Pelodiscus sinensis: one gene and its partners. The protein of the gene in region 1 interacts with the protein of each later gene in a biochemical or structural test. Links are inferred from orthologs where the notes say so. Each region holds a gene or a part of one and is shown on either strand. Other genes may lie near its edges.

The links.
Region 2: the proteins of RPS6KA1 (region 1) and MAGI2 interact in a test that uses a peptide from one of them, tested with the Homo sapiens proteins (2 studies listed by BioGRID and IntAct, with this or other methods). The link is inferred for Pelodiscus sinensis from reciprocal best matches to the Homo sapiens genes RPS6KA1 and MAGI2.
Region 3: the proteins of RPS6KA1 (region 1) and LIMK2 interact in a test that uses a peptide from one of them, tested with the Homo sapiens proteins (2 studies listed by BioGRID and IntAct). The link is inferred for Pelodiscus sinensis from reciprocal best matches to the Homo sapiens genes RPS6KA1 and LIMK2.
Region 4: the proteins of RPS6KA1 (region 1) and PDZRN4 interact in a test that uses a peptide from one of them, tested with the Homo sapiens proteins (2 studies listed by BioGRID and IntAct, with this or other methods). The link is inferred for Pelodiscus sinensis from reciprocal best matches to the Homo sapiens genes RPS6KA1 and PDZRN4.

Annotation. Positions count from the first base shown.
Region 1 is NC_134735.1:2,049,529-2,056,839, forward strand, and holds the start of RPS6KA1 (ribosomal protein S6 kinase alpha-1), read left to right. Parts: upstream 1-4,296; 5' UTR 4,297-4,391; coding exon 4,392-4,454; intron 4,455-7,311. UniProt on the Homo sapiens protein: Serine/threonine-protein kinase that acts downstream of ERK (MAPK1/ERK2 and MAPK3/ERK1) signaling and mediates mitogenic and stress-induced activation of the transcription factors CREB1, ETV1/ER81 and NR4A1/NUR77, regulates translation through RPS6 and EIF4B phosphorylation, and mediates cellular proliferation, survival, and differentiation by modulating mTOR signaling and repressing pro-apoptotic function of BAD and DAPK1.
Region 2 is NC_134711.1:21,274,995-21,281,992, reverse strand, and holds the start of MAGI2 (membrane-associated guanylate kinase, WW and PDZ domain-containing protein 2), read right to left. Parts: upstream 3,006-6,998; 5' UTR 2,657-3,005; coding exon 2,356-2,656; intron 1-2,355. UniProt on the Homo sapiens protein: Seems to act as a scaffold molecule at synaptic junctions by assembling neurotransmitter receptors and cell adhesion proteins. Plays a role in nerve growth factor (NGF)-induced recruitment of RAPGEF2 to late endosomes and neurite outgrowth.
Region 3 is NC_134725.1:8,458,054-8,465,482, reverse strand, and holds the start of LIMK2 (LIM domain kinase 2), read left to right. Parts: upstream 1-4,416; 5' UTR 4,417-4,567; coding exon 4,568-4,583; intron 4,584-7,429. UniProt on the Homo sapiens protein: Serine/threonine-protein kinase that plays an essential role in the regulation of actin filament dynamics. Acts downstream of several Rho family GTPase signal transduction pathways.
Region 4 is NC_134711.1:52,518,258-52,525,572, reverse strand, and holds the start of PDZRN4 (PDZ domain-containing RING finger protein 4), read right to left. Parts: upstream 3,023-7,315; 5' UTR 2,255-3,022; coding exon 1,553-2,254; intron 1-1,552.

The DNA of each region.
Region 1 (7,311 bases):
CTCGGCGCTACTGGACCAACCCAGCAGCACCCCAGCTGCTCTGCCCCAGGCGTCCTGATTCAGCCGCTGCTGAAACTGACCAGCAGCGGCTGAATCAGGAAGCCTGGGGCAGAGCAGCTTGGGTGCTGCTGGGTTGGTCCAGTAGTGCCCAGAGCGGCGCTGCGGGACCAACCGGCAGCACCCCAGCTGCTCTGCCCCAGGGTCCGGCAACAAAAGCCTGGTCTGCTGGGGGGGGCACACTAGCTGCGCCCCCCCCCCCAGCAGACCAGGGACACGGGGAGCAAAGCCGCAGCGGCAGCGGGGTGCCGCGCCTCTGAGGCTTTGCTCTAGCAAAGCCTCAGAGGCACGGGAACCAGCCGCCACTGCGGCTTCGCTCCGGTGCCCCTGGTCTGCTGGGGACCGTCTCCAGCAGACCAGGGGCACCGTGAGTGAAGCTGCAGCGGCGGCGGGTTCCAGCGCTTCTGAGGCTTTGCTCTGGCTGCTGCGGCTTCGCTCACGGTGCCCCTGGTCTGCTGGAGACGGTCTCCAGCAGACCAGGGGCACCGTGAGCAGCTTTTCTCGCCCCGGAGGTCGAGGTGGCGGATCGCTGCCTGTGAGCTCCGGGGCGAGAAAGCCCCGTTTGTAAGTGCAGATCCGACATAAGTCGGATCCGCGTAAGTCGGGGACTGCCTGTACCTTACCCATTACAAAGATCGCTTCCCCAATTATCACCTCTAATATCATTAGCTCACAGACATTTATCTCCCCCCCCCCATCCCTCTTCTGTTCTGAAATTTGATTTGTCCTTTTCATGGTTCATTTTTTAAAATTGTGTCCTTTGGTATATATGGTTGTGACAATTTTCTTCCACTATTTGATCTGAGGAAGTGGGTCTGGCCGACGAAAGCTCATCACCTAATAAACCATCTTGTTAGTCTTTAAAGTGCTACATAGTCCTGTTTTTTTATCTAGAAGTCAGTGAGTGTCTATTTAAAGGGCTCTGAAGATTGAGAGTGGGCTTTTCAAAAGCGATCACTGCTAACCGAATGCTACTCCCCTGAAGTCTGCCCAGGCCAAGGAGAATGCAGGATCTGGCCTTCGATTTTCTGCTTTGGGACCAGAAACTGTATTTTGCTGCTTTGTACGTTGCTGCATCTTAACAAGCAATAGGAGAATACTTTTAGCTCCCCCATTACTATGTTTGACGCTTAGCGGTACCTATCTTTAAAAATATTGTTTACTTAACTAGCAGTTTGATCATGAAATACAAAAAGTAGTTTTGCAGAAGTTGGACCAAAAAGAGCAGAGTGTTACATGTTTCTACTCCAGAGGGATAGCAGATAAGAACAGCAATTTCTAATTAATACCTTACATTCCTAAAGCTCCTAGAAACCCCCAAAACTGGATATGTGTCAGTGTCTCTACTTTATAGAGAAACTGAAGAATGGGACTTGCACAAGGTTGAACAATGGCAGACTAAGAAAACTGAACCCAGATTGTCAGCCTGCCCCTCTCTTGTTCTAATCACTAGCCTATTCTGCCTTGCACTAATTTAACTTCACAACCCCCTTCTTCTTAGGGTATTTTCCAGTGTTATAGACACAATGAAGGCAGCACACATACAACTCAACTCAAAGTTTAGGGGAAAGATTTTTCATGAGACACATAACAGCTGGAGAGTTCATTCCAGCTGGGCACAGGTGCTTGCAGGCACTTTGTGTGCCTTTGAAAATCTTCCTTACAGTCAATCACTTTTACCAGTAGAAATATCTACACATAAAAGTAGGTTACAAACAGTGCTTAAAACCATCCATAATCATGAGCGGCTTTAAAATGTAAGGAATCCAGGGACTCCCATGAATACCGTACCTTCTATAAGTGCTCAGTTATATATATTATATATATTTTCGTATATATTAATTAGGGAAGATCTTGTCACCGACCATCATTACTACTCACCCAATGCATGTAAATGCCTATGCACAACCATTGAGCTTTGTCTTAACATATAGGCTACGTCTACATTGGCATGATTTTCTGGAAATGCTTTTAATGGAAAAGTCTTCCGTTAAAAGCATTTTCGGAAAAGCGCGTCTAGATTGGCAGGACGCTTTTCCGCAAAAGCGCTTTTTGCGGAAAAGCGTCCATGGCCAATCTAGACGCGCTTTTCTGCAAAAAAGCCCCCATCGCCATTTTCGCGATCGGGGCTTTTTTGCAGAAAACAAATCTCTGTTGTCTACAGTGGCCCTTTTGCGCAAAAGTTTTTTGGAAAAAGACTTTTGCCTGAACGGGAGCAGCATAGTATTTCCGCAAAAGCACTGACAATCTTACATAAGATCGTCAGTGCTTTTGCGGAAATTCAAGAGTCCAGTGTAGACAGCTGGCAAGTTTTTCCAGAAAAGCGGTTGCTTTTCTGGAAAAAGTGGCCAGTCTAGACACAGCCATAGTGCTACCATATGTTGAAATACTGGCCTGTTTCGTGTCTTCAATTGTATGTATCTTTTGACAGGTTGATTCGATCTGTACTCCCTCTGCCTATTTTGGCCAAGAAATCTTGAGGCTCCACCTCTATTTCCTTCTGCTTAATGCCTGACAGACCACAGAAGTGATTTTGCTGGGTAATCATGTTCATACCCTCTATCCCCTTCCTTGATTCTGACCTTTGTTTGCCTCCACTTCTGCTAACTTTATTCCTTGGCCTTGCATTCTCCTTTTCCTCCTACATATAAGTCTGTACATTCATAGATCTTAAGGCCCACGGACACTGTGAGGATAATCTAGTCCAACGATACTTCTTGTGTAACACAGACCATAGAACTTTAACCGGGAATTCCTGCATCGAGTTCTTATCTCATGGACAAGGATGTTTTTGCTTTTAAAACATCTGGTTTTGATTTAAAGACTTCCAGTGATGGGGAATCCCTTGATAAGTTGTTCCAGTGATTAATCAGCTCTGACTTCATCCCCTCTTATCACTTGTTCTCAGCCAGCCTCCACCTCAGAAATGGCTTAGCCCAGCCCTGGTTAAAAATAAATATATTTTAGAAAAAACTCAGATACAAAACTACTGCCCCCAGTTTTCCCCTTGTGGAGCCTCTGACCAAGCAAATGGAGGGGAAATAAAAAAGGGACTGTTCTGTCTCTTTTCTGTACTTTGGTAGGTAGAGCAACCTAGTCTAGTGGATTGACTTAGGTAGATAGAGCCACAAATCCCTGCCTGTAGATCCTGTCTCTGACACTCACTGGCCAAATGGCCTTGAATAAACCACTTAGCCTTTGTCCACCCTGAGCATTTCCTCTTTCCATTTCCCAGCCTTGCTACCACTGGTGTGACCTCCTTTCTGGTGGGTATCAGATAATTGATCTCTAGATGACAAGGAAGGTTGCTACCACCTTCAGTTGACTGACGAAGTGCCTGTGGGATAGCAAGAAACTGTCACTAAACATCAAGATACAGCTCTACCAGACATACATTTGGAGCCCGTTGCTGTATCGTGGTGGGCCACCTGCTGCAGGCGTAAGAGAAGGCAAAATACCTTTCATTCTTACTCCCTTCAGAAAATCAGGTGGGAAACACAAGACCTTGACACCCCAGTACTTCAGAAAAACAGAACGACCACGTCTGATCTCTGGTCTCAAACATGTAGCCACATTTAGCCATCTCCATTAGACTCTGTCATCTTCTGACCCAGAGGTTTGTGCCCGGAGCCCTGCATAGCAACACAATTTGTATCTGCATCTGTGTCCCCCAAAATGAGCCTCAGATGCCCACGCCGGCCCGTGGCTGCGGAGAACCACGGATAGGAAGGAGAGAACCGCAAATGGGCAAGGTCCTAGATACGCAATGGGGGTCCACAACCCCCAACTCCGCAGATGCCGATTCCCATGGCTTATAAAGCAGATGCCCCCCATTCAGGCCGGGCCTTCTCTGGGGCAAGGACTATGGAGGGGACCTACTGAGGCTGCATCTTTTCCTCAGGAAGGGGCCTTTTTGGCCACTCCTGGCGCTGCAGCATGGGCCCTGGTGCCTGATTCTTCATCCCCCCGTGCCGAGGCCTGACAGCCCCCTGGGGCGCTGGGGTGGGGGCAGGTCTCTCTGGGCCGGGCAGCCCCTGGGAAGGAGCCTTTGGGGGCCCCCGGAGCAGGGGGCAGAGGTGGGGTGCGGGGGGGCAGCCGGGAAGGGCGGGGGGAGTTTGTGGCCCCTGCGGCGGAGGCTGCGGGGCGCCCCCGGGGGCGGGCGGCGAGCCCAGGCTCGGCCCGGGCGGGGCCCCGCAGCCAATGGGGCGGCGGGGGCGGCGCCGGGGGCGCGGCCAAGGAGGGCGGCGAGCGGCGCGGCGAGTGCCGGGGCTCGGAGCTGGCCCCCCAGCCCGTCTCGCCAGCCCGCCCCGCTCCCGGGGCCGCCCGCCGCCGCGATGCCGCTCGCCCAGCTGGCGGACCCATGGCCCAACATGGAGCTGGTGCATCTGGACCCGGAGGTGCGGGGGGGTCCGGCTCGCTGCGGGGGGGATCTGGGCGCGGGGGGGCAGCCCCCCGGTGCCCCTTGCACGGCGGGGTGGAGGCCACTGGAGCCCCTGCCCGCCCCCCTGCCGAGCTGGGGCTGAGCTAGAGACGCGGCTGGGCGAGACCCCAGGAGGTGGGGGGCGGGCGGGATCTTTACCCCTCCTCTGGAAAGCCCGGTGGGGGGGGGGGTCAGCGCTTAGCAGAAAGTGCCGGAGTGTGTGTGAGTCTGTGCATATGGGATGTGGGGGGGGGTCTGAGTGTGTGTGTCTGTGGGTGGGGGGGTCTGAGTGTGTGTGTCTGTGGGTGGGGGGGTCTGTGTGTGTATCTGTATGGGATGTGGGGGGGTCTGTGTGTGTATCTGTGTATGGGATGTGGGGGGGGTCTGAGTGTGTGTCTGTGTATGGGATATGGGGGGGTCTGTGTGTGTATCTGTGGGTGGGGGGGGTCTGAGTGTGTATCTGTGGGTGGGGGGGTCTGTGAGTGTGTCTGTGTATGGGATGTGGGGGGGTCTGTGTGTATCTGTGTATCGGTGTGTGCGCGCGTGGGGTGTGTGTGTGTCGGGGGTGTGTATCTGTGGGGGAGGGGTGTTGTGTCTACACACACATCCAAAGTTTCCCGTCGAACAGAGGAAGTGCCCCGTCTCCTTTTCCACCCACCTCTTCACCTCACCCCGCGGAGGTGTCTGGCAGCTGAGCCCTGCCCCAGGCTCGCCTGCTAATTAAAGCCACCACGGCCGCGTACTTGATCAGATGAATGCAATTGGGGATTCCGCACCTCCCCTCTCTGCTCCCACCCTGCCCCGCAGGCGCGGAGACGGTTCATTTTGGGGAAGGGGGGGGCAGCCACTTCTCACCTGATTCAATCAACATGTCTGCAAGCAGGTTCCAGGTCTTCTCACTGGAGCGATTGATTGGAGCAAAGAGGCAGGTTCCCGGTAATCCTGTGGGTTTTGCCTGCTGCCCTGGGCTGCCAGCTGTAATCCCCTGCCTTGATTTGGCCTCTCTCACTGCGGGATTTAGCCTGCTGTGCCCCTCTGGGGGTGACCCCTTGTGGGTTTACAGCTGGCTGTGCAGCCCAGTCCTGGGTTAGCGTCAGTCCTGGAGCAATCTTTGTGCTACCAAACCCCTGGGGGAGGTTCTTCAAGTTCTACATAAAAACAACAAACCACAGATATTAGGATTGTCTTGCCTGTACTTCCTCAGCCTTAGAGCGGAACTAACTTCCCCCAAAAGTGTCTTTTGTCTGCAGCTCTCTCTTAAGTGTGTCAGACTCTTGCCACACACGCACTGCTAATCCGACTTCCTGAGGGGCTGTTGGAAAACCATCCAGCAGCTAGACTGCATGCGTTGTACTGATCTGTCAGATCAGCGTGTTGCTCACTCCTTATGCTATATATGACCCTAGGTTATCTTTTTTTAGGGATGGGGGAGTATCTAGTTTGCAGGCTTGGCAACCTTTAGGAGCCTAACTAAACCCAGCAAATGCTCTGAAGTGCAGAATGAAATGGGGGAACTCTCCCCTTCTCTCTGAATCTCCCACTGTTTAGATCTAGGGTCTTTCCAAACGTGGATGAAAATGCAGTCACCGCTCCAAAGTCCCACATCAGAACCTCCACATTAGTTCTGCGCGGCTTCCCCTCCCCATTGGCACGTCTCGAACCCATTGCTCGGAGGGGCACGTGTCTAAAATTCCCAGGTGTTCTGTTGCGCATAGGCACTCCTCCCTCGCACGCGCGCCTTCCCTTCCTGCTTACATTGCCACCCCGAGTCACCCTGTCCTTGTGTTTCTCTGGACAGGCTAGTGCATGGGCCACCACCGAGCACTGGTGCAGGCTTCTGCTGTGGAAATTGAAAATAAAGTGTTTGGTATTCAGCGTAAATGCTCCTCAGTCCCCTGCGGCTGAGCTCCTAGTAATGGGAGCTAGACCCAGCTGCTTTACTCCTCGGCTGCTTTTTCTCAGGCCCTGATGCTCCCCTTTTATGCTGAGATGTGAGCTGAGAATCGGCCACCCCACTCTCTCGCCTCAGGCAGCTGCACAAGTCAAGGTTCCGCTCAAACAGGCCAGCCCCAAACACTTAACGTAGCCGCTGGCGAGGTCTTTCCTGATGGTCCCACTTCTCAGTCCTTGGCCCCGGGTTGGCGCCACCGAGCAATGACAGTGACAAAACATGTTTTGTCAAGAACATGCCAGGGTTCCAGCTGGCCCGTCTTTGCCAGCCAAGCCCACCGGGCTGGTTAGTAGCAGCGCGTGGGTCTCTAGGGTGCATGTGTGTACAGGAGTGGGAGAGGGAGGAGTTCCTTGTTCCACACTGATTTGACCCTGATGCCTGGCAGTGTGCGGTGCTTTCTGGGCTGACTTTTGTGACGAGTTGGAAGATGGCGGTGCCACAGTGCTTACGTTCGCATTTTTCTCCCCTTTCAAATCAGACAACCTCATAGTGCCAGATTACTTCCTACAAACGCTCGCAGGAGTTCAAATCAAATACCAGTGTCCATGACATGCCCTACTGCTGGCAGGGTTGGGATTTACTGCCTAACCCTCTGGCCAGACAACACTGTTGTGTGGAGCTTGCCTGTCTGCTGAATGAGTCAACCTTGCTGGAGCTGTGCATTTGGCCTGAAACTGGCGTCTGGGTTGGGTTTTTTGTTTGTGGTGGGGTGGGGTGGGGTGGAGTCCTGTGTCCAGGCTGTTTGGATACCAGTCTCCTAAGTGAAGTTTGTTTCTTATGATGGAAGAATGAGAAAACGAATGAACTACAAACTGAACCTCTCTAGTCCAGCACGCTCGGGCCCTGACCAGGGCTGAACCAAGGGGCGCTGGATATTGTCTAG
Region 2 (6,998 bases), on another chromosome or scaffold:
TACAAGTAACTTCTTGTGTTGTTCTTATATATACCCCTACCTCTGTAATTTCCACTCCCAGTCATCTGATGATGTGGGTTTTACCCACGAAAGCTTATGCCCTGATAAATCTGTTAGTGTCTAAGACTACATCTACACTACAACATTATTTCAGGATACTGGAGTATCCTGAAATAGCTATTCTGTGTCTTCACAGCAAGCCCGTTATTTCCAGATATAACAGGCTTGCTATTCCAACGTCCCTATAAACCTCATTCCATGAGGAGTAAGGAACATTTCAGAATAGCCGATTATTTTGAAATTTGGCACTGTATAGACTATTGGCACTGTTTAAGCTATTTTGAAATAAGAGTGAAATAAGATACGCACTTTGCGTAGTTCAAATTGCGTATCTTATTTTGAGCTACGGTGCAGTGCAGAAGCACCCTAAGGTACCACAGGACTCTTCATTGTTTTTGCAGATACAGACTAACATGGCTACCTCTCTGAGACCTTTTACATTTATTTAGAAGCTGAAACACTATAGCAGGTTTCATGGAGCACAGAGCCCAAAGGTGACCCAGTACAACAACGTAGAATTGCTTTAAGTCTTTTCCCTTTCTCATCTTTACTTGTTGCATCAACTATTATGTCTCCTTGACTTCTGTCCTTCAAAATGTGACTTACAATACACTGCTGTACTCTGAATTTACCAATATGCCAGCTTAATATACAGTGTATAAATACCAGGTTATGTCAGTTGTTTGGAGATGTGACCTCACTGTAAACAATTGAACACACAGTAATATCCTTATGGAGACTAACTCAAAGTCAAACAGAATCTTCCCACTGATTTTAGGGAGCTTTGGATCAGGCCAATAATATTTTTCAAGCATTTGAATCTCATTGAAATTGAATCTCATTGAAATCTCATTGAAAACCACCATGAATAACAGGCCATCCACTAAAATGATGAAACTCAACTACAAAATTATACTAAGGAAGAATCTGGGGCAGCTGACACAGCTGTCCATTTTGCCCCCCAATCTGTACCAAGGTTGCCTTTTTTGGAGATAGAATACTGGCACTGAACTTATTTCCACCGCAGTATTAACTGGATTCCTATGGCTGAGCCTGAAATGCCTTAGTCTCCTTTCTCCCCCCCCACACACACAATCAACCACTGCATCATCATTATCAAGGCACCACTTATGAATGTGGTTGTCACTGGAGTTTACAACTGTTCTGCTCTGCCACCACTTCTCTGAGTGTCAGAAAACTGTTCCAAACCTTCTGTTACCCTCCCCTACCTGCCAATTTAGTTGAAAGGGCAGAAAGGGGTTACACGGAAAATCTAGTATCTTTAATCATATTCACTTTCCTGGAATTCTGTTAAACTACTCCAGGACTTATATATATTTATTTTTTTTAAAGGGGAAACAGATGACCAGTTAAAGTTTATGGTTCTGTCCTCTAACTTCCCTCCGGCTCCTGCAGCGAGCACCCTTTCCTCTCTGGTGTCAGGATATGAAATCCCCTTTCCCCAGCACCAGGCGATTGTTTTCATCGGAGATAAAGTGGAGGATTTTTCCTACAATGATACTGTACGGAAGCTAAAGCCGCCCTAAGGTGTCAGGGACCTGCCAAGCAGCAGCAAGTCACTACCTCCAGGGGAACACGCCCAGTGTCAAGCGGAGCCAAGGGTACCAGCTCCCAAAGCCAGCCTCCAGGCCACTTTCTCTAGATATGAAAGACTACGCTAGGGACGGCCAAAGCCCTATTGCTCCTTCTGGCTACGCGGCGCAGCGTGGTGCCCTGCATGGCCACAGCGTTACTCGATGCTAATGCTCCTCAACGCCTGTCACAAGGTTTGGCTCCTCGCCTCCCTCTCAGTGCTGCGGCTCCCTATGCGTGTTGGAGGCGCCGCGAGCTGCTTGCCTGACCCGGGATCCCAAGCTCCCCACCCCTGGCCCCGGCTCTGCCTGCAGCACCTCAGGGGGTGCCTGTGCGCCCCGGCCCGGCCCTAGCAAAGTTTGGCCGCCTCCCGCCCCCTGCAACCGCGGCAGCCTGTCACTGACGCACATTTAATTCCTCCAAGCACACAGGGCGCCGCTGCCCCTCGCAGCCTCCCCGGGGCCAGGTGCTGGACCCTGCCCAGAAAGGGGGGGTGTCAAAGTGCCGGAACAAAGTTACACGCCCCGCGGCGGGGTCTGCGGGCTGTCTCCCCTCCCCCACGGCACCCCATCTCCTCGCCACTCCCGGGCTGCGCCCTTCCCAGGCGCTGTCCCCGCTGCGCCCCGGCTCCTTGTCACCCCGTCCGGTCCGCCCCTGGCCCGCCCGCCGAGGCGCAGCAGGCACGCGGCAGCTGGCCCTTACCTTGCTTGACACACTTGAGCCGGATGGGGTCCTTGCAGTGCTTGATCACGGCCAGCACATCCCTGATGGTGAGCCCGGCCACGGGGGTCTCGTTCACCTCCAGCAGCAGCTCCTCCGGCACCAACTTGCTGCCGCTCTCATAGGCCACCTTGCCGGGCTTCACCTCCCCCAGGTACGGGAACTGCCCGTTCTCCGCTCCCCCTTTCAGCTCAAAGCCCAGCTGCCCCTCTTGGTTCCTGCCTAGGACAATCTCGTGGACTCTGCTCGTCCAGTGGCTTTTCTTTTTCAAGCCCTTGGACATTGCAGTGGGGATGGGCTGGCGGAGTCTCCCCGGCGTGCTGGGTGCTGGTCCGGAGCCTGGCTCCTTTTTGGGGCGGGGGGCTGGGTCCGGGGCTGCGGCGGCTCCCGGCCGGCTGCAAGGCACCGCAGGGGCCGTGGCCGCCGGGCGGCGAGGAGGATGGAGAGGTGGGGAGTGGGGGTGACTCTGCCCGTGCCTGGCTGTCAGTCTGGGTGTGTTTAGCGGATGGCCATGGCAGCTGCGGCAGCCGGGACCCTGGGAGTGCGAGTGTGTGTGTGCACTAGTTGTACAGTAAGTGGCAGCGGGGAAGGAGGGAGGGGAGCGGGCGGGGAGGGAGGGAGGGATGGAGACGGCCCGGAGAGGAGGAGGGGGAGGAGCAGGACTGTGTGTGCTGGGGGAGGGGGGTGTCTGATCACGCTCGCCTCCAGCCTGACCCGGTAGTGAAGACCCAGAGAGAGGCTGGCTGGCACGGCGGGGAGAAGGCGGAGAGCAGCCGGGCTGGGTGGGGAGGAAAGGGAGGCCCCGGGAGCTGCAGCCTCCCCACCCGGCCTGGCGCCCGGCCGAGCCGCGGACGGGGAAAGGGCAGCAACCCCTGCAGCGGGCGGGCAGGGAGCGAGCGGGTGACAGCGCGGGGGGCCCTCCCCTTTGCAGCCCGGGAGGGATGGAGCGGGACGGGCCCCGCCAGCCGGGATCCCATCGCTGAAGCTCCGACCCCCCGCGGGTCCCGGACCAGGCCTGCCCGCTCTGCGGCACGGCTGCCCAGTGCAGCGCGTAGCCACGGCACCCACCTCCCTCCCGGCTCCCTCTGCACCCCTAGCGCCCCCTGGCCTCGACCCAGCGCCCGGCCGCTCATCCGACCCCGGAGCACCTGGGTACAGCAGCGCTGACCTCCAGCCCCATTCCCTACTGCCCAGTGCCCATATCACCCCAGAGCCGCTCCCTGCCTGGCCCCAATTCCACTCCCACCCCTGCTGAGGGGTCTCTGTGGGCACAGGGGCATCACAGCCATAAGCAACTGCAGCCTCAGAGCTGCCTAGCTTCCACTCCCTCCTGCTGCCTGTGACTGCCAGTCACTGCTCCTTGTTTGCCAGGTTACATTGGGAGTTCCCCAGGGCAGGGAATGTGGCTTCTGTTGCTGCCAAGTGCCTGGCCCCTTTGTGGGCCTATGCTACAAGCAACAATGGTGGAACAGGAAGGAGAAAGTGAAGAAATCCTCTCCTGCATCCTGCCTTTACCTACATTCCCTGCCTATCCTCTTGCTCCTAGTCACCCATTGATAGAGCAAAAATGATCCGCAGAGATCTGCATCAATATCCACGGATATGGATATCCACAAATATAAAGTGGGTATCTGCAAATCTGCAGATATGGATGTAGATATCCACAGCTAATGTTGGCGGATGCAGATATAAATTGTGTGTGGATATCTTGCACATTTGCAGATACCCACTTTATATCTGTGGATATCCATATCCGTGGATATTGATGCAGATATCTGCGGATCATTTTTGCAGATATGGATACAGATTCACATTTTGTGTCCACACAGGTCTCTACCATTGAGTCAATTCAGCTCAGTCCCTTAAAGCAAAACATGGGAATAATGTGGTGGGGCCAGGAAGGGTGATCCAGTTATTAGGATGGTAGCATTTGATTTCTGGAGACCTGGCTTCATCTCTCTGCTCTGCCACAGATTCCTGTGTGAGGGGGCAAGTCACTGAGGTCCAGATCCTCAGAGTTATTTAGGTGCATAAATCAGTGGATGTTAGGCACTTAGGCTGTGTCTAGACTACATGGCTCCATCAATGGAACCATATAGATTAGGGTTGTAGGCAAAGGGAAATTAAGCGGCGATTTAAATAATCGCCGCTTCATTTAAATTTAAATGGCTGCCGCGCTGAACTGACAAACAGCTGATCAGGATATGATGAGGATATGAATGCAGGTACATGTGAATTGGATGCAGAATTAGAAATAGCTGATCAGCTGTTTGTCGGCTCAGCGCGCTAGTCTGAACGCTCCGCGGTTGACATCAAAGCCCTTTGTCGACCACCCCGTTATTCCTCGTGGGATGAGGTTTACCGGGGCGGTCGACAAAGGGCTTTGATGTCAACCGCAGAGAGTCCAGACTAGTGCGCTGAGCCGACAAACAGCTGATCAGCTGTTTGTTGGCTCAGCGCGGCAGCCATTTAAATTTAAATGAAGCAGCGATTATTTAAATTGCTGCTTCATTTCCCTTTGCCCAATAAACAAATCTACATGGCTCTGTCGACAGAGCCATGTAGTGTAGACGTACCATTAGATACCTCTGGGGAGTTAAAACAGGTTAACAGCACTTCCCAATTTAGCTTGAGGAATAGCATATTAAAGACTTTGAGATGCTAAGACACTATGCTATAGAGGAGCTATAAATCCATCTAAAATAGTGAATTGGATGCTTTGAAAAATCAGTAAATGGATTTGGAATATGTAGTTATGAAATTAGATGTTCTTGGCTTGAGCAAGCTTCAAATGGTGGCAAGACGAACGTGACAGCTATGAATCTTGAGGCCCCATTAATATGTTTAGTCATAACTGCTCTGAATTTACACAGAACCCTGTAGTGCCTCTAGGTTTAGTGACTCCCAAACTTACAGTTTATTGGATACTATTGCCATAGAACAAGTTTTCTAAGCCTGGTTACCATGATGCCAGGGGAAAGGGAGGTTCCACCCCCATCAAAGTTCAGGTGGACTTTGCCTGGTGAAGAGAGTATGGGACAAGTGCAAGTTTGAGAAGAATAGGGAACATCAGCAGGATAGATGAGTGAATGGTTTGTGGGACCCTGCCCTCTCTGTTACCTGTCAGCCCTCAACCTTCACACTCCTTGCCACAACTTTCTGGATTATCCAGGCTGCCCAGTGCTCCCTGATTCCAAGCACTCCAGCTGTTCAACACCATGCTATCCTTGCCTCACATTGAGCTGACCCTCACTGCTTAAGTTTTGCTGCTTTAACACCCTCTGATCTGTACTTCCCCCACACTCAGATGTAGAATTTTCTAGCATGAAAATGAAGAAATGCATCCACCCCTGGGCTTTATAGACAAATGTATGAATGTCTCACTTCCTAAAGAAATGGATTTCCCTACTAAGTAAAGACTGACCAAACATGGACAGGGAAAACTCCATACTTTAGCTGAAACGTTGGTTGACCTAGCCTTTAAAAGGCAAGAGATTTCCTCTCACCTCATCTACATGGGTGTACTATGTGCATGTGCAGAATGGAAGAATGATGAGGATATGAATGCAGGTACATGTGAATTGGATGCAGAATGAATGAAGGGTGGGATATAGTATGCGTGGAAGAGATTACTGTAGTTTAGAAGTTGTAAAATGTTTTTGAAATGTTAATGGAAAAAATGGCACTATTTGTCAATGAAATTTTTCACAGAAATGTGTTGTTTTTTGACTATCTCTATTGCACTAGCACATGGGTGCAAATTAAATGGGTACCCGTGGAAGGGTACAGTGGTACAACAAGCAAAGAACAAAGACCTTGATCCTACAAGCTGTTTAATATGGACTTCAGAGGGATTCTGTGTGGGTGAAGGAATCCACTCACATGGGGCAGTTTGCAGGTTTGGGGCCAAAGGAAAAGGAAAGAGAAAAGAACCATAGAAAAATTAAAATAAAAACATAAAATAGCAGTAAAAGGGTGAATGGCTTTTCCCCCTGACCCACCACTCTATTGTTTTGCTTTCTAGTTGTGAAAAAAGAGAAAGCATGTAAATAGCTGAGAATAGGGAGTAAGAAGCCTCATCCTTTTGACCCACCTTGAGCTTCCAAAATCTTACATATATCTTCACTGAAAGCCTCAGCCCTATAAAAAGTGTCCTAATTTTTTCATTAAGAAAATGCGGTCACCCTGTTAATATGGGAACAGCAGTCATGAGCTACAGATAATAAAGATTCAATTTATAAATAACCTAATATTCACCAGAACACACACACACAGAGAGAGAGAGAGCTCTGACACCTGCCAGTGCTCTGGCTTACTAGAAGTTTCCCTGGAATAATAGCTTGTATCTGTTATTAACTTAAAACATATTTGTCAGAGGTGGGGAAGAGGACTGCATTATATTTCCCCATCAATAGGCCCCAAGATTAATTTAGCTTTAATCATTGGGGTTATTTAAGATTTCCAGAATTAGTTAAAATCAAGCTGACATTAACTGTAGCAAACTATTGTGCTACATATCCCTCTCCTGTCTATTAAAAGAGTCTGTAGGTTCCATTTTAAATATATTGCTAGCAGTATGAATCTGTTTGAGATAGTAATTTGTAACTCCTTTAGATTTGTATCAC
Region 3 (7,429 bases), on another chromosome or scaffold:
TATTTTTGAAATTATGCATTTTTATCCTCAACTGAACACACATTATGAAACTTTTTTCACTGCCATGATGTTTTACTGAGAGACAGCCCCACCTGCTGGCAAAAAGAGAAATTTTACCTGCTAATATAAAAGGGATTTTGTACTTCCTTCCCTTTTACTATTATTGTGAGACACTGCTATAATCCTTTCAAGGTGACAGTGAAAAATTCAGCTGTAACAGGAACAAAATAGGTATTAAACCAGAATAACATTTTTGTTTTGAAATATAAAGTTTTAAGCTTAAATTTTTATATATTTTTTGTTTGCCGGCTGCTCTTGAGAAGCTGAAGAGGTGCAGGCTGAAGCGGCTGCAATGACAAGACTTAGTCATTAATTTCCTCACAATCCAAGAATGAGATTAAGTGTTAATGCTTCTGATTATTTTCTTTGTATGTATTTTGTATTGTATCATTTCCTCCTCCCTTGTATTCAGACTGCACATGGCCTGCAGTTAGAGAAAGATGGCACATATAGTGCAACCCTTTATTGTTCACTAATTTTCACTGTTGTGAAAGTGATTTAGAATAAAAAAATGGTTTTACATTGACCTAAGCTTATGTGGATTCCCTCTTTGTAAGGAGGGGCAGTTCCCATGCCCTGTGTTACTTGGAATTATCACTGTAGTAGTCAGTACTGTGAATAATGGCAGAAAAATTTAGTTATTTTATATCCATATATTGTGGAAAGTGTTAGCAGTATCAGATCTGCTGTTTGTACACCTGCACTGTAGGATATATGTCCATGATGTATTTTTCACTCAGAGAAGGAACCAGCTGTTGCTGTCTCCGATAAATAGCAATGAAACAGTCTTTGAGGCTGCTGTATTTTAGGCTTAGAGCTGAAGATGCTTTTGTGCTAGTATATATATATATATATATATATATATCTATACCAGCTATTTCTAGGCTAAACAAACCATGATTCTGAAATGCATTAACGGGGGTATTGTGAGCAAGACACGAGAAGTCTTTGTATCCAATTCTGGGCATTGCCTTTCATGAAGGATGTGGAGAAATTGGAGAAGGTCCAGAGAAGAACAACAAAAATTATTAAAGGTCTAGAAAAGATCTACTGTATATCTGAGAGAGTTGGCCATCCCTCTGTCTGTGTGTTTGTTCAAGAACTAAATAGGAAGAGGTAGGACCACCAAATTTAGTATACAACTTCCTCATATAACTTAAAGCAAGATAAGGGTTTAGTTGTGCCAGGAAAATGGGCTGTGCCTGGAATAGGATTGCTTCTCATAAAACCACACAGAAAAGAGACAGAATCACCAGTGAGGTGAGAGGTGCAGGGTGGAGGTACTGTCAACCCCACAGGTGCCCTTTAGTGGGGGGAGGGCTGAAGCCTTCCTACCCCCCCACGCTCTGCTCCACTAGGGATGTAAGCAAGAACCCAACTACCCAATAAGCCTCAGAGTTAGGACCCCCTCTCTTCCCACAGACAGAGGCTGCTTGACCCAGCATGAGCTGGGACTGAGCAATCCTGACTCAATCCTGGCTCAGGCCATGTCCAGGAGCTATGGCCACTGTGGCTCCGCAGTTTAAATATAGTAAGAGCCGGGAGCTCTGGTAGCCCAGCTCCTATTACATTTAAACTACAGAGGCGCAGCAGGGGTAGGTTCATGTAGTCAATACAATTTATATCACCTACGGATTAGAGTATTACCCATTCTTAATATCCTTACCCCCCACCCTAATTTGTAGGGGGACATTGCTGGGGAGCGAGGGGAAAGTGCAGTTTGCTGCATACCTCATTCTTGCTGGAGAGCGTAGGGGAAGATGGCTCTCGACCTGGACCTGTCCAAGCTGGAGGACATACACTCCTCCTCAGGCTATGCCTGCTGGAGCTGCAGCAGCCATGGGGAGGTACTTCTCACTTGGCCCCAAGCTTCTGGAGTGATAGGGGGCTGAACAATTCCTCTCTCCCCAGGGCAGCCTGCATACTGGGGAGGTTAGTGGCTAGATGGATAACCATTTAAGTAAGTGCTTATCAGTTAACCGTAGTGATTAACCACAAATTCCCTCCCTCCTCTGCATGCTCTGCATTAAAAACTTGGACCTGTGCACTGTCTCACTCCCAGCCTGTTGGGGAGCCACCTGCAGCTTCACACTGCTGCTTCTGATACAGAGGCAGCAACATGGGGCAGCAAGAGGGAACCAGTCCAGACCAGGTACTGGTTTAAAAACTAGGTCTTGCCTGCTTCCCCATCCATGGGATGCTGGAGGAACCTCTGTTGGGATGTCAGGGTGCACCCACCTGCCATCCTGCCTCTGTACCAGAGGCAGCAGCATGGGATGATGGGGGGATGCCTGGGAGTGGAGCCAGGAATGCACTGGCTGCTGGCACTGCCCCCAAGGACCATTGAATAATCATGTAACTACTAAGAATGGTTGCAGTTACATGATTATTAAACATTTTCTAACATCCCCATTGCATACTGAACCCCTCAACACCAGCCCCACCCAGAGCATTGATTTAAATGAAGCATGGACATTTTCAGTTTATTTTCCAAAAAACAAAAAGTTTGTTAAGCTGAACAACACTAGGTAAATCTTCTAGTGACCTATGGAGGAAGTTTGAAAGAATTTGGTTTGTTTAGTCTGGAAAAGAAAAGACTGAAAGGGGACATGACATAGCTTTCAAATACCTAAAAGGGTGTTACAACTAGGAGGGGACAAAATGTTCTCCTTAACCTCTGAGGATAGGACAAGAAGCAATGGGCTCAAATCGCAGCATGTGAGGTTTAGGTTGGATATTAGGAAAAACTTTCCAACTGGTTAAGCACTGAAATAAATTGCCTACATAGGTTGTGGAATTTCCATCACTGGAGATTTTTAAGAGCAGATTAGATGCCTATCTATCAGGAATGGGGGAGGTTGTGCGTAGGGAACCTTTTTTGCGTTGGGGGCCATTTTTAGCCCCGGGCCTTAGGTTCCCCACTCTTGGTTTAGGTGTTTGGTCCAGGGGACTGGACATGATGCAAGGTCCCTTTCAGTTCTAAGTATTCTATGATCTGTAAGATTAAATTATGCCTCTTTGAATAGAGAAAGTAAAAAAGCAGAGGTTCCTTTACTTCATTCCTTATGTCTTGAAAAAATGTACAGGCAGTCCCTGGGTTACATGGATCCGACTTACATCGGATCCCTACTTAAAAATGGGGTGAGGCAACCCCGCACTAGCCGCTTCCCCCCAGCAGACCAGGGAGACGCGAAGCTAGCGCCTCCCCCCAGCAGACCAGGGAGACGCGGAGTGGCTTTTCTCAGCAGACACCTCAGCTTGAGAATAAAGGACTGAGGGAAGTGAGGTGTGGGAGAATAAAACTGAGCTCTGGAGAAATGTTTGGCTAGAGTTTCCCCTACATTATGTACCAGTTCTGACTTACATACAAATTCAACTTAAGAACAAACCTACAGTCCCTATCTTGTACATAACCCGGGGACTGCGTGTAGTATTAACCTTTTGGAAATCAGGAAGCTCTCTTACACGTGGGGTGAATTTCCTCAAGGAGGGGGACTTGTGAATGGCCTGATTGGAGTTCTGCCTGCATGCCACTGTCATGGTTGAAAGAGTTATGCTATCACTAGGGCTATGTATACACTGCAGGCTTTTTGCACAAGAACAGCTGTTCTTGCACAAAACCTTGCAGAGCAGCTACACTGCACACGTATTCTTGCACAAGTAAGTTTATAGACCAGCATCAGAAAACAGGGTTTCTTCCAGAAGAGTTATTCCTCTTCCCCTGAGGAATAAGCCCTCTTGTGCAAGAGCTCTGCCACAAGAAGGCCGTGTAGACAGGCAACATGAATTTCTTGCACAAGAAACCCCTACGGTTAAAACGGCCATCAGAGCTTTCTTGCACAAGAGAAGTCCACACTGGCAAAGACACCTTGTGCAAAAGCACATGGCCGTGTGGATGCGCTCTTGTGGAAGACCCTTTGCACAAGACCTCGTGTGTAAAACAGTTCTTGGGCAAGCAGCCTGCAGTGTAGAAGTAGCCCGAGCAGACCTGAGATTTCAGAGGAACATTAAAAAACAAACAAACCCGCAGGGTAACAGGCTAGGCTGGGGGGCGGAGTAACCCTGTCAAGGCACCGCACCCCTCCGGGTTAACAACAGGGCGGAACAGGACGGCGCCAAACATCGGCACCGCAGGCAGCTTGAGCCCCGGCCCCTTGCAGCGGCGTCTGGCTGACGCCCCGCCCCCAGGCCGCCAGCTGCTCTCGCACGTGCGGCGTTCCGGAGGCGCTGGGACTGAGCAGAGCTGAGCTCTGATTGGCCCCCTCCCGAGAAGAGGGCGGGCTGTGGCGCGGAAGTGGCGGGGAGAGTGGGGGGGTGAGTTTCTTATCAATGGGCCGGTCGGAGATTGGCCCGTGACCATAAAGAGGCGGCGCTGCCAGGGGTGGGCGGGGCTGTGATTGGCCCGCGGCAGGGAAAGGGCGGGCCCCGCCTCGGGCCAGGTGCATTTGATCCACCCCGCGCCCCGTAGAGGCTGACGTCACGGAAGGCTGGAGACCGGCTGGGGGCGATGGCGGGGTCGCCAGGTGAGGGGCTGAGTTCGGGTCTGGGCGCTTCCCCCGACCGCCTGCAGGGCGCGGCTCCGCCGCCGGGCCGGGCCGCCTGCCTGCTGGGGCCGCTCCCTGGTACCCGCGGGGCGCCGGGCTGCAGCCCCCTCCCCGGCCGAGGGCATCGGCCCCGCCCCCTCTCCAGGGACCGCCCCGCCCCCTCCTCTAGTCCGGCGCCGCCCCGCCCCCTCTCCAGGGACCGCCCCGCCCCCTCTCCAGGGACCGCCCCGCCCGCTCCTCTAGTCCGGCGCCGCCCCGCCCCTCCGCAGTCCGGTCCCGCCCTTCCTCTGGGACTGACACAGCCTTGCTCTCCTGCACCCTGGGGGCTAGCCCCTCCCCTGGACCGGCACGGCCCTGCCCCTCCCCCCCTGCAGTCTGGCACCAACCCCTCCCCTGAGACTGGCAAGCCCTGCACCCTGCAGTCTGGGTTAGCCAGTTCGCTGGAACCTGGTACAGCCTCTTCCTGACCTAGGGACCAGTTACGGGCCAAGCAATTGGTCGTAACTCGGTTTGTTCGTAAGTTGGACCCCATTGAGTTACATGTGACCACGCTGTTCATAAGCGCGGATCGTGTTTGTAACTTGGGGTGCGCCATTTACAACAGCTTTGGTCGTAACTGTGAACGGTCATAAGTCGGCCGTTTGCAACTTGGGGACCAGCTGTATAGCTTCTGCTCATGTGCTCCCTGCGTGTCCAGGGCCACCTTCATGGCTTGGCGGAGGCAGCCAGTCATGCTATCTGTCTTGAGTGCTGGACTGTAAGGCTTGCTTTTTTCTCTGGCATACTGTTAGCGGGAAGGGGGTGCTGCAATGTAAACAATGTATGGTCCTACAGCACCTTAAAGACCAACAAAATATGTAGATGGTGTCATGAGATCTTTGTGGGCACAGCCCACTTCTTCAGATGAATGGAGTTTATTAAAGGTCCAGTTCCAAAATAAATAGGGCATGGTGGAGGGGAGAAGGAAAAAGGAGGAAAAAAGTTAGGCTTGTTCATGCTACATGAAGCTGGTAAGAACAATTTGCACTTTCTCTAAGTACCCATTGTTTGGTCTGTTAAGTCATTAGGATGTAGATGGTATAGGATGTAGATGGTAGTGCGCTAGCCAGGTAACATCTTTATGCATACCTTTGTGAAGGTCCTAAACTTGTAAATGAAGTAAAGTTCCAAGGCTTCCCTGTTTTGGGTGGGGGAGAGACTGATTTAGGCTGTGACTGCAGACTAGCAGGGCACAGAAGTCCACATTATTAGGTCATTATTAGGCACAACTGAAAGCTGAGTGTGCAGCTCCGTTAGCTGCTGCATGCAGCATCGTTGATATGTATGTGAATTCAGAGTGACCCTGCTATTTGCAGACTGCATATATTTTAATGTTCACCGGCCTCTGACATCCTTTTCTGGCCAGTGGAATCTGGGCATCAACTTGAAGCTCAATTTGCACTGTTACTTAAGCTGAAAGACTGTAAATGTCTCACTTGATAATGTAACTTTCCTGTTCAATCTCCTCTTGTTTCTTTCATTGGTTATTACAGGTCCCCCTTAGTCTTAAATATTGATCTTTTATAACACTGTTTTCTGAAACTTTAGTGAACTTTTCAGCAGAATTTCCCAACCTGCCTAGTAGGCATATTGTAGATACATTGGCTGTGCAGCACACACAGCAAGCTTGAGAGGGTGATATTCAGTGGTTAATGTGCGTGGTTCCCTGTCCCACTCCTCACTGCTGCCTCTGACACAGAGGCAGCTGCCTGGAGGAGCAGGCGGGAGCTGGTACAAGCCAGCTCCCTGTCTGCACCAGCTCCTGGGGAAGCAAGTGTCCCCTTCTCCCCCCCCTCCCCATGTGTAATTGCTCAAACTTTCAGCAGTTACATGTTTACTTTAATATATGCATGTTAACATCCTTGTCTCTCAGCCAATGTTATGTACTATCAGCATGCACCTCACTTCATGTGCCCTTGCTTTACATGCAGGTTATATTGGTAGGGGAAAAATGAAACAGATTAAAACTGGAGGAATCTGGCAGTCCTATTTGCGAGCAATGGTAAACAAATTGTCTCATGGGCGCCACTCAAAACCCCAATGAGCTGTGTGTGGTCCTCAGGTTGCTCACAGCTGCTTTTAAACTCTTCTCGCTTTGAAAAGTGAGGGGTAGCAGCAATGTTTGTCTGCATCTGTAAAAACAAAAAGTCCCCTTAGCACCTTAGACTAACAGATTTATTAGGGCATAAGCTTCCATGGGTAAAACCCAGTTGGTCTGACTGCATCTTTGTCTAATATCTTTGTCGTTGAGGGCTCTCTCTGTCTTATTATCTGCAAAGGGTACACTTAAGTAATGAGGCATTTCCTTTGCTCATTCATCACAGGGCATTCTTCTTTTCATTGGGGGATTTTGAGTTCAATGGCATACTTTGTTGATTACATACTGTTGTAAGATCAGGGCCTAAGGCATAAACCACCCTGACCATACTTCTGTAGTCTCCTTCATCCTTATTGTTTCCTCATACCTTAGTCAACAAGTGATCACTTCAGTTGAAAATAGAATTTTTCACTTTTTGCTCTCCTAAATTGTTGTTGCATTCATTACCACAGCAATGCAACATCTGTTTAATGTTCACTTGCTAGGTAAGTGATTACTGAGAACTTAAGTGAATTTGACAAGTCCTGTATGTTACCTCTGGATGACTGTCATTGTTAGTTAACTGCAGTGCAGTAACTTGTGCCTTTAAACTGATTGGGGCAAAGGCTCTTGTGTACAGTATGTTGTATGCTTATGATACTAAACAGAGGGAGATGTATGTAAAGAATCAGTATCTTATGCACAGACT
Region 4 (7,315 bases), on another chromosome or scaffold:
TCTGAATCTGTCATCCTTATCCTGGTCATAAAAACCCTGAGAACTTGAATCAGTGCCCCAGTGTGAGTCTCTTTTATAACAGTTTGAAGTTCAGCATATCATGCTAACGCTGATAGAAGCCAGCAAGGCTACTCAAATTTTTTTCCTCTGGATTTTGCTTCAAAAGAGTCAATAATGATTTTGGAAGAGAAATCTCTTGAGTGGAGCTTACATTCCATTAAATCATTTCTCACCATGGTTGCAACCAGCAATGTCAGACTCTGCACAGAAATCCTTCAGACAGGAATTAAAGCTTTACAGAACAACTCCTTTAGCTTGCTAAGCCATCTCACCAGTAGCACTTGGCAAAAGGCTGAAGCAGCAGTGCTGGTCTCTCCTGTCAATATTGCCAATCATTATGCCCTTCCCCAAAACTACTTCCGCATCCCTGCAGAACTGTACCTAAACTCTAAAGGATTCTGTTGTTTTTAAATAACAAACTGTTTTCCAAGTTGCTGCTTAGTACTATAATGATAAGAAAATATATCTGGTCACTTCTTACCTACCTGAAATTAGAACGTCACCTAAGGAAGATATAATACCAGCATTAATAAGATCATACTCAGCTGGAAGAATTGTGGTCTGTTCTAGACACCCAGTGGAAGATTTGCATTAAAGTTTGTGAACTGTCAGCTAAGTTGAAGCCCTTTCCTCTGATTTATGTTTCCCTCTCCAGACATGAGATCCAAATTGAGTCACTGGGGTCTACCAGAGACATGATTCCTCCAAATTGAGTCACTGGGGACAGAGGCTGGTGTGCAACCCTTACGGATGCCAAATTCTTGAACTACAAAAGGAGACATGAAACGCAGAACCCAAAAGGACTAAGGTAATTTATGTCACATTTTAGGCTCTCTGCACTCTGAAAGAAAATGAGGGAGCAGAAAGAATCTGCTTTCACAGCTCTTGAAAGATGAGTTTTCCAGGATGAAGGAATGGGGAAATGAAATGTAAAAGTTTGATTTACATCACTTTGTTTCCAGACTTTTCAACCATCAGCACAGCAAGAGAGCTCGGATGCAGGTTACCGAGTGTTACCTGCCTGCCTCTCTGCTTTAGGGAGGGGGCTCTCCAAGGGACCTCATCGGGGGCTGACACTGCAATCCCAGGTCCAAGAGGCTGCTGTGTGTGTCCGCTCCAAAAGCGATCACACAAGCAGGTCTGGAATAAACAGCACAGAGGGTCCGGTCCCTGCTGCTGGGGTCGGTCAGTGGAGTGCAGCAGAGTTTGGCTCGCAGAGGATCTGGCCCCGAGTGGCTCGGGGCGTTGGCGGTCTCCCCCAGGAGCTGCTATCATAGGTGCTGAACTGGGGGGGAGGGGGTTCCAATAGCGACCCTCCTACCTCGACGTGATTTCCATGCTAGGGCGGGGGGTTACAGGTTGGTCCCATGTTCCAGCCCCTCACGGCTCGGCACCATCCAAGGAGCGGCCCCGCCAGGCAGGCATCCCGGTGCAAACACACCCCGAAGCCGCCAGGCTGCGCTCCTGCCGCCCCGCCCGCCCGCTCACTCACCGTGCAGGGGGGGCTGCCGGCCAGGCTCCTGGCGAGGCTGCTGAGGTGGCTCATGTACTGGTTGAACTTCACCCGGTACCTCAGCGCCGTGAGCTGCACCTCGCTCTGCAGCGCCGCGAGCTGCGCCAGCAGCGACTTCTCCCTCGTGCTCCACTCCCGGGCCTGTCGCTTCAGCGCCGGCTCCAGGCCGGCCCGGGGGATGCCGCTGTGGCTGCGCAGCGCCCGCAGGCAGCAGCGCCCCCCGCCCCCCGCCAGCAGCAGCAAGTCGCAGCCCTGCGGGCAGGGGCCGGCCGGCCGGCGCTCGCAGCTCTCCCGCCTGGGCGCCTCCACGTCCGGCAGGCTGCGCACCTCTGGGCAGCCCTGGTGGCGGCAGCGGGCCGGGCTGTAGTCGCACCACTCGACGTGGGCGGCCAGCTGGTGGAGCCGCACGGTCCTGCCGCAGCCCCGCGGGCTGTAGTCGCACTTGACCTCCAGCTTCTGGATGAGGCTCCGGAGCGGCAGCACCTGGTGCAGCTCCTTGGCCGAGAGGGGCTGGCACTGCAGGGGGCAGCGGCGGCGCTGCAGCGCCCAGGGCAGCAGGCAGCCGGCGCAGAAGACGTGCCCGCACGGCGTGGACAGCGGCTCCTCCAGCACCTTGCTGCACAGTTTGCACTTGAGATCCGGGTCCACGGGCTCGGCAAAGCGATCCAGGTCAAAGCCCATGGCTGGCGGGGGGCGGGGAGCACTGCACAGGCGGGGGAGAAACTTTCCAGCAGCGGCTGCTGCTGTTTCTCCTGCCAGCCCGGCTGCTGATGCAGGCAGCGCGGCTCCAACTTCCAAGGAAAGCGGAGGATGAAGAAGGGGAGGGCAGCGCGGAGTTTGTTTGGTTTGAAGTTTTCAGCGGCTCACCCAGTCCTCTGATCCTCCCGTATTCACTGTAATAGGAGCGACCGCCCAATACCCCTCCCCCCCATTCCTCCGCCATCACCTCCGCCCTTTTGTTGCATCCCTCCCAGCAGGGAAATGCAACAGGGCAAGGGGGGGAAGAAGCTGAGATCTGCCAGACCCAGAGTCAAGCCTGCACTGAAGGAGAATGAGGGGAAAGCAACCACGCCAGCTCCCTTCCCTGTGCTGTAGGGGAGCTGGGAAGAGGGGTAGGAGAGATGCAGGAATGGGGCAGGAGGGAGCTACTGGCATACCAGGCAAGCGATGAGCCCACAGCAATTTGGAACTGATTTACTCCCAGAGATCTCCTCCTTGCCCTCCTCTTTGGGATCATTAGCCATTGGGATATTCCTCCCATATGCCTCCTCTCCTATCCCACCTCCCCCTTAAAGTCTTTTATTTTGTCTCTTAGAAAAAGGAATGAAAAACAATCCCAAATCAAGCAGCAGAGAAACACTGGAATTACAGGTTATTTGGGTAGCCCGTGTAGGTAGCAGATAGGAAGGGAAGGGCTAGATCCCCAGCAGGAGACTTAGCCTGCTAGAGGGTTCTCCCCCACAGCTGCTGCAGCTCAGAAGTCATTAAGAGAGATGGAGGAAGGAGCACCCATTACAGCCCCAAACTTATGTGCAGCTCTTGGGACTGTTGTCCTCAGTATAGGTTATTTCAGACTGGATTGTGAAAAATGGAATTGTGGAAAAGCTGCAATTGAAAGTAGTACCAATGCACTAGGCCAAAAAATGCCACCAATGAAATGGAGTTAGTTGTAGATCTCCCATAAATGGTCACACATGTATAAAGAATATGACCATTTTTAAATCTAAATATGTGAAAGTCTGGACATTAATCTCCTTACTCAGAGCTTAAAGTAGGCTGGGTGGCCTCAAGTCTCAGAGGTGGACAAAGTAAGAACTATGAAGTAGGTTTTGTGGGAGTCAATTGCAAGTGAAGAGGTGATGCAACCAAACATACATTGCAGCACTTTTGAAAGCCAGGAGAGTTAATTAGGTGTGTAAATGAAAGTTTAATCATTTAGATTTAGGCATCCATTTTTTTTAAAGTACCCGCCTTTGTTTCTTAATGCAGCTCGCAAGTTGCATCCCTTAATAGTATTTCAGTGCATTGGTGTTCCAAGTAGATTCATTCCAAATTATCCTTCCTATTCTTTTCTGAGGGTTAAGGACTTTAAGACAACAAATAAGAACTGGCTTGTATAAAACATAATATTCAATGATCTCCCATTGAAGTGTTAACTAATTTATAAAACTCAACTTCCATACATTATTATAAAGAAAAACAAACATACATGCAGCAAGTTACTCATGCTGAGAAGTACCACCATGTGAGTACTTAGAAACATCTCCCAGACACTGGTCTGAGATTACGCTATGAAGATTTTGGAGGTTCTAGAATAGGATCCAGTCTTACTAGTCTCTATCTCATAAGGCAAAATCCATGAGCAGTGCACCATGTTAATTGTTGCCCATTACAATCAATATTTTGCTAAGTTTGCCTCACAAAGGAGTTCTCATTACAACCCAGTTCAAACTTGTGAGGCCTCAGCATTTGGACTTGTTACTTCCAGAGAGCTCACCATAGCAAGATAATGGCTAATAAATGTCACGCTACAATATCTCTCTTCACTCATGATCCTTAGTTCCAGTTTCAAGAGCTATGAATCATTTGGTAACAGATGTGCCTCATATCATATTCACTCCTCTCGTAATACCATAAATATTTAACAAGCTCCTTGTTTTCTCTGACATGGAGTTTGTGTCCTACTGGAACTCAGGTTGCTGCAAAATGCTCATCTTGAGCATTAACTTTTCATGTTTCATGCACAGACACACACACACTTTGAGGAGAGGCTCCAAGGGAAACACTATGTCAGTGGGAGTTTTTTGGTACAGGCTGAACCTCTCTAGTCTGGCACCCTTGGGACCTAACCAGTTCCAAATGAGAGAATTTTCTGGACCATGGGAGGTCAATATTGTCTAGCAGCATTACCAACATGTCCACTGCTTACTATACTGTTAGAGGACATTTAGGAGGAAATTAGAGCTAAATAACATCACAGAGCTAGGACTGGTGGCTGTAAACAAACTTTATGGGACCGCAAAACTTGGCCACACTCATGAGAAGTGAACATCCAGCTAAGTAAAATCATTCCAGATGATGGATGTTTCCAGACAACAGAGTCTGGGACTAGAGAGGTTCAACTTGTAGTGTAGAAGAGCATGAAACCCAAGGTTACCAGAAAGATGTGGAAGGGGCTAGGTAAGCAATATAAAAGTAAGGGCTCTGTTTGCAGATAGCTCTTGCCTCAGATATGTCCTAAATGTAAAACATACAACTGTTTCCAAGGAAGGCAACCAATCAAATGGAAACATTTCAAGATAAATTGTATTTTGAAAACTATGTGGTGTAAGGTGATGGACCTCTTAAGGCATCTAGACAGACATATTTGGCATGCTTGGAAGGAGCCAGTGGTCATGGTACACGCAGGAACCAATGACATAGGTAAAGATAGGACAAAGGTCCTAGACTCCAAATTTAGGCTGCTAAGCAAGAAATTAAAGTCCAGGACCTCCATGGTAACATTCTCTGAAATGCTTCCAGTTCCACATGGAAGGCCAGTTAGTCAGGCAGAACTCTATGGCTGTGTCTAGACTGGCATGATTTTGCGGAAATACTTTTAACGGAAAAGTTTTTCCGTTAAAAGTATTTCCGCAAAAGCGCGTCTAGATTGGCACGGATGCTTTTGCGCAAAAGCATCCGTGGCCAGTCTAGACACGATTTTGTGTAAGAAAGCCCCAATCGCCATTTTAGCCATCAGGGCTTTTTTGCGCAAAATAGTTCTTCCCTGTCTACACTGGCCCTCTTGCGCAAGTATTCTTGCGCAAGAGGGCATTTTCCCGAGTGGGAGCGTGAAAGTATTTGCACAAGAAGCACTGATTCTGTTTCCGTATATTACAAAGTCAGTGCTCTTGAGCAAATTCAAGCGGCCAGTGTAGACAGCTGGCAAGTTTTTGTGCAAAAGTGGCCGTTTTTGCACAAAATCTTTCCAATCTAGACGCACCCCTTGTGTGGATGAGACAATGGTGTTTGGAGGAGGAATTTAGGTTTCTTAGGAACTGGGTCACCTTTTGGGAATGATTGAGCCTACAGAGGAAGCATGGATGCCACTCAAAAATGAAATCAGATTGCTGATTGTAGGATAATTTTTAAACTAAGGTTGTGGGGGAGGGGGACGTCAACAGGTTCTTATTAAGGGAGGATTCATTGAAAGAGATGCTTGATATCCTAATAAAGGGGAGAAGAAAGAAATTGATAAAATACAGGTAGGAACTGAAGAGAAACAGTCATATAAAAAAGAGTCTAATTGTATTATATCAAATGAAGGCAGACAAAATATTGACAAATCTTATAAGTGCTTCTGTACAAATAAAATAAATCCGAAATACCTGGATGGGTGAATTCAAATGTTTAATATTAAATGAGGATATTGATAGAATATACATCACAGAAACTGGGCCAGATTCCACCGTCAGTTGCATCGATGTAACTAAAATAACACACTAGTCAGTGGACTGGGATTATTTACTATTAACACTTTTTTTTATCATCAAGAGTCTTAGAGGATGGCATGTCATAAGATTTCAGAACAAATATAATTTTTATGTGTGTTCATATTGTTATTGAGAAGCATCTCAAAGTGTCTTTTTTCTCATCCACATTTTAATCTTCGCAAACAATTTCTCTGAGCCACATGCTATCATTGGAGCACTTTCAGAACTTAAGACAGGGTCCCTAAAAATGGGCAGGTATAAAATAGTCTGAAGCCTCACAATTGCTTTCTGAAGGCTGAACAAATATATCCATTCATCAGTGCAAGCAGGAGACTCTTCCAAACAACAGCTTTTTAGGAAGGAAGTTTACACAGTGAGAATGATTGTTATTTACACTGTTCATTGATGCACATAGGCATGATATATTTCCTACTTAATTAAGCTTGGTATCCATTTTACTGGCCAGCATAGAAAACATTTGCAGTGCACCTCTCCAGGAGGGTAGCCAAAGCAAAAGACTGGCAAATAGTAGAAAGCAAGAATGACTGGCCAGTTGGGAGGAGGAGAGAAGTCCAGTTCAGCATCTCCTGGAATTCAGAACCCAGAATAAGTACCCTGTTTTTCAACCCCTAAATCATCTGGGATCAAAGAGGGGGCTGCAGCAAGGAAAGAGCAACCTGGCATGAAATGTGTCAGAAATCAACTTACATCAACAGGGCAAATCACAGCAATTCTTAAAACGTAAATAAAATCTGGATTTTAGCCATGGTTTTGCCACAGTTTAGGTGATTGTAGGCACTTTACACAACTAGTTTTTGCTGCTGCACATGTCAAACCAGGATATTTCCATCTACTTATTTGCTGCTGCACATGTCAGATCAGGATAGTTCCATCTACCTATTTCACAGAAGAATTGTCTGAGGCAGCTGGTAATTTAAAGTTGGTGGGGCTAAGCCAACCCATAGGCAATATGGACCAGATCCTCAAAGTTATTCAGATTCTTAACTTCCATTGAAATAACTGATGATCTGGGCCTATGTTAAGTAACTGGGATGCATACTGCCAGCTGTCACAATTTTCCTCTATCATATACTTACGCAATCCCCATTACCAATGAATCTGAACACCACACAACTGATAATGTAGTTATCTTCAAAACACACTGTGAAGCAGGTACGTGCACAGGGGGAGCCGACAGCCTCCGCAGGCCCCTGGACAAGGTGGGAGGGGGCAGCTTCATGCTCCCAGAAGGGGCAGGGCTGGGGAAAGC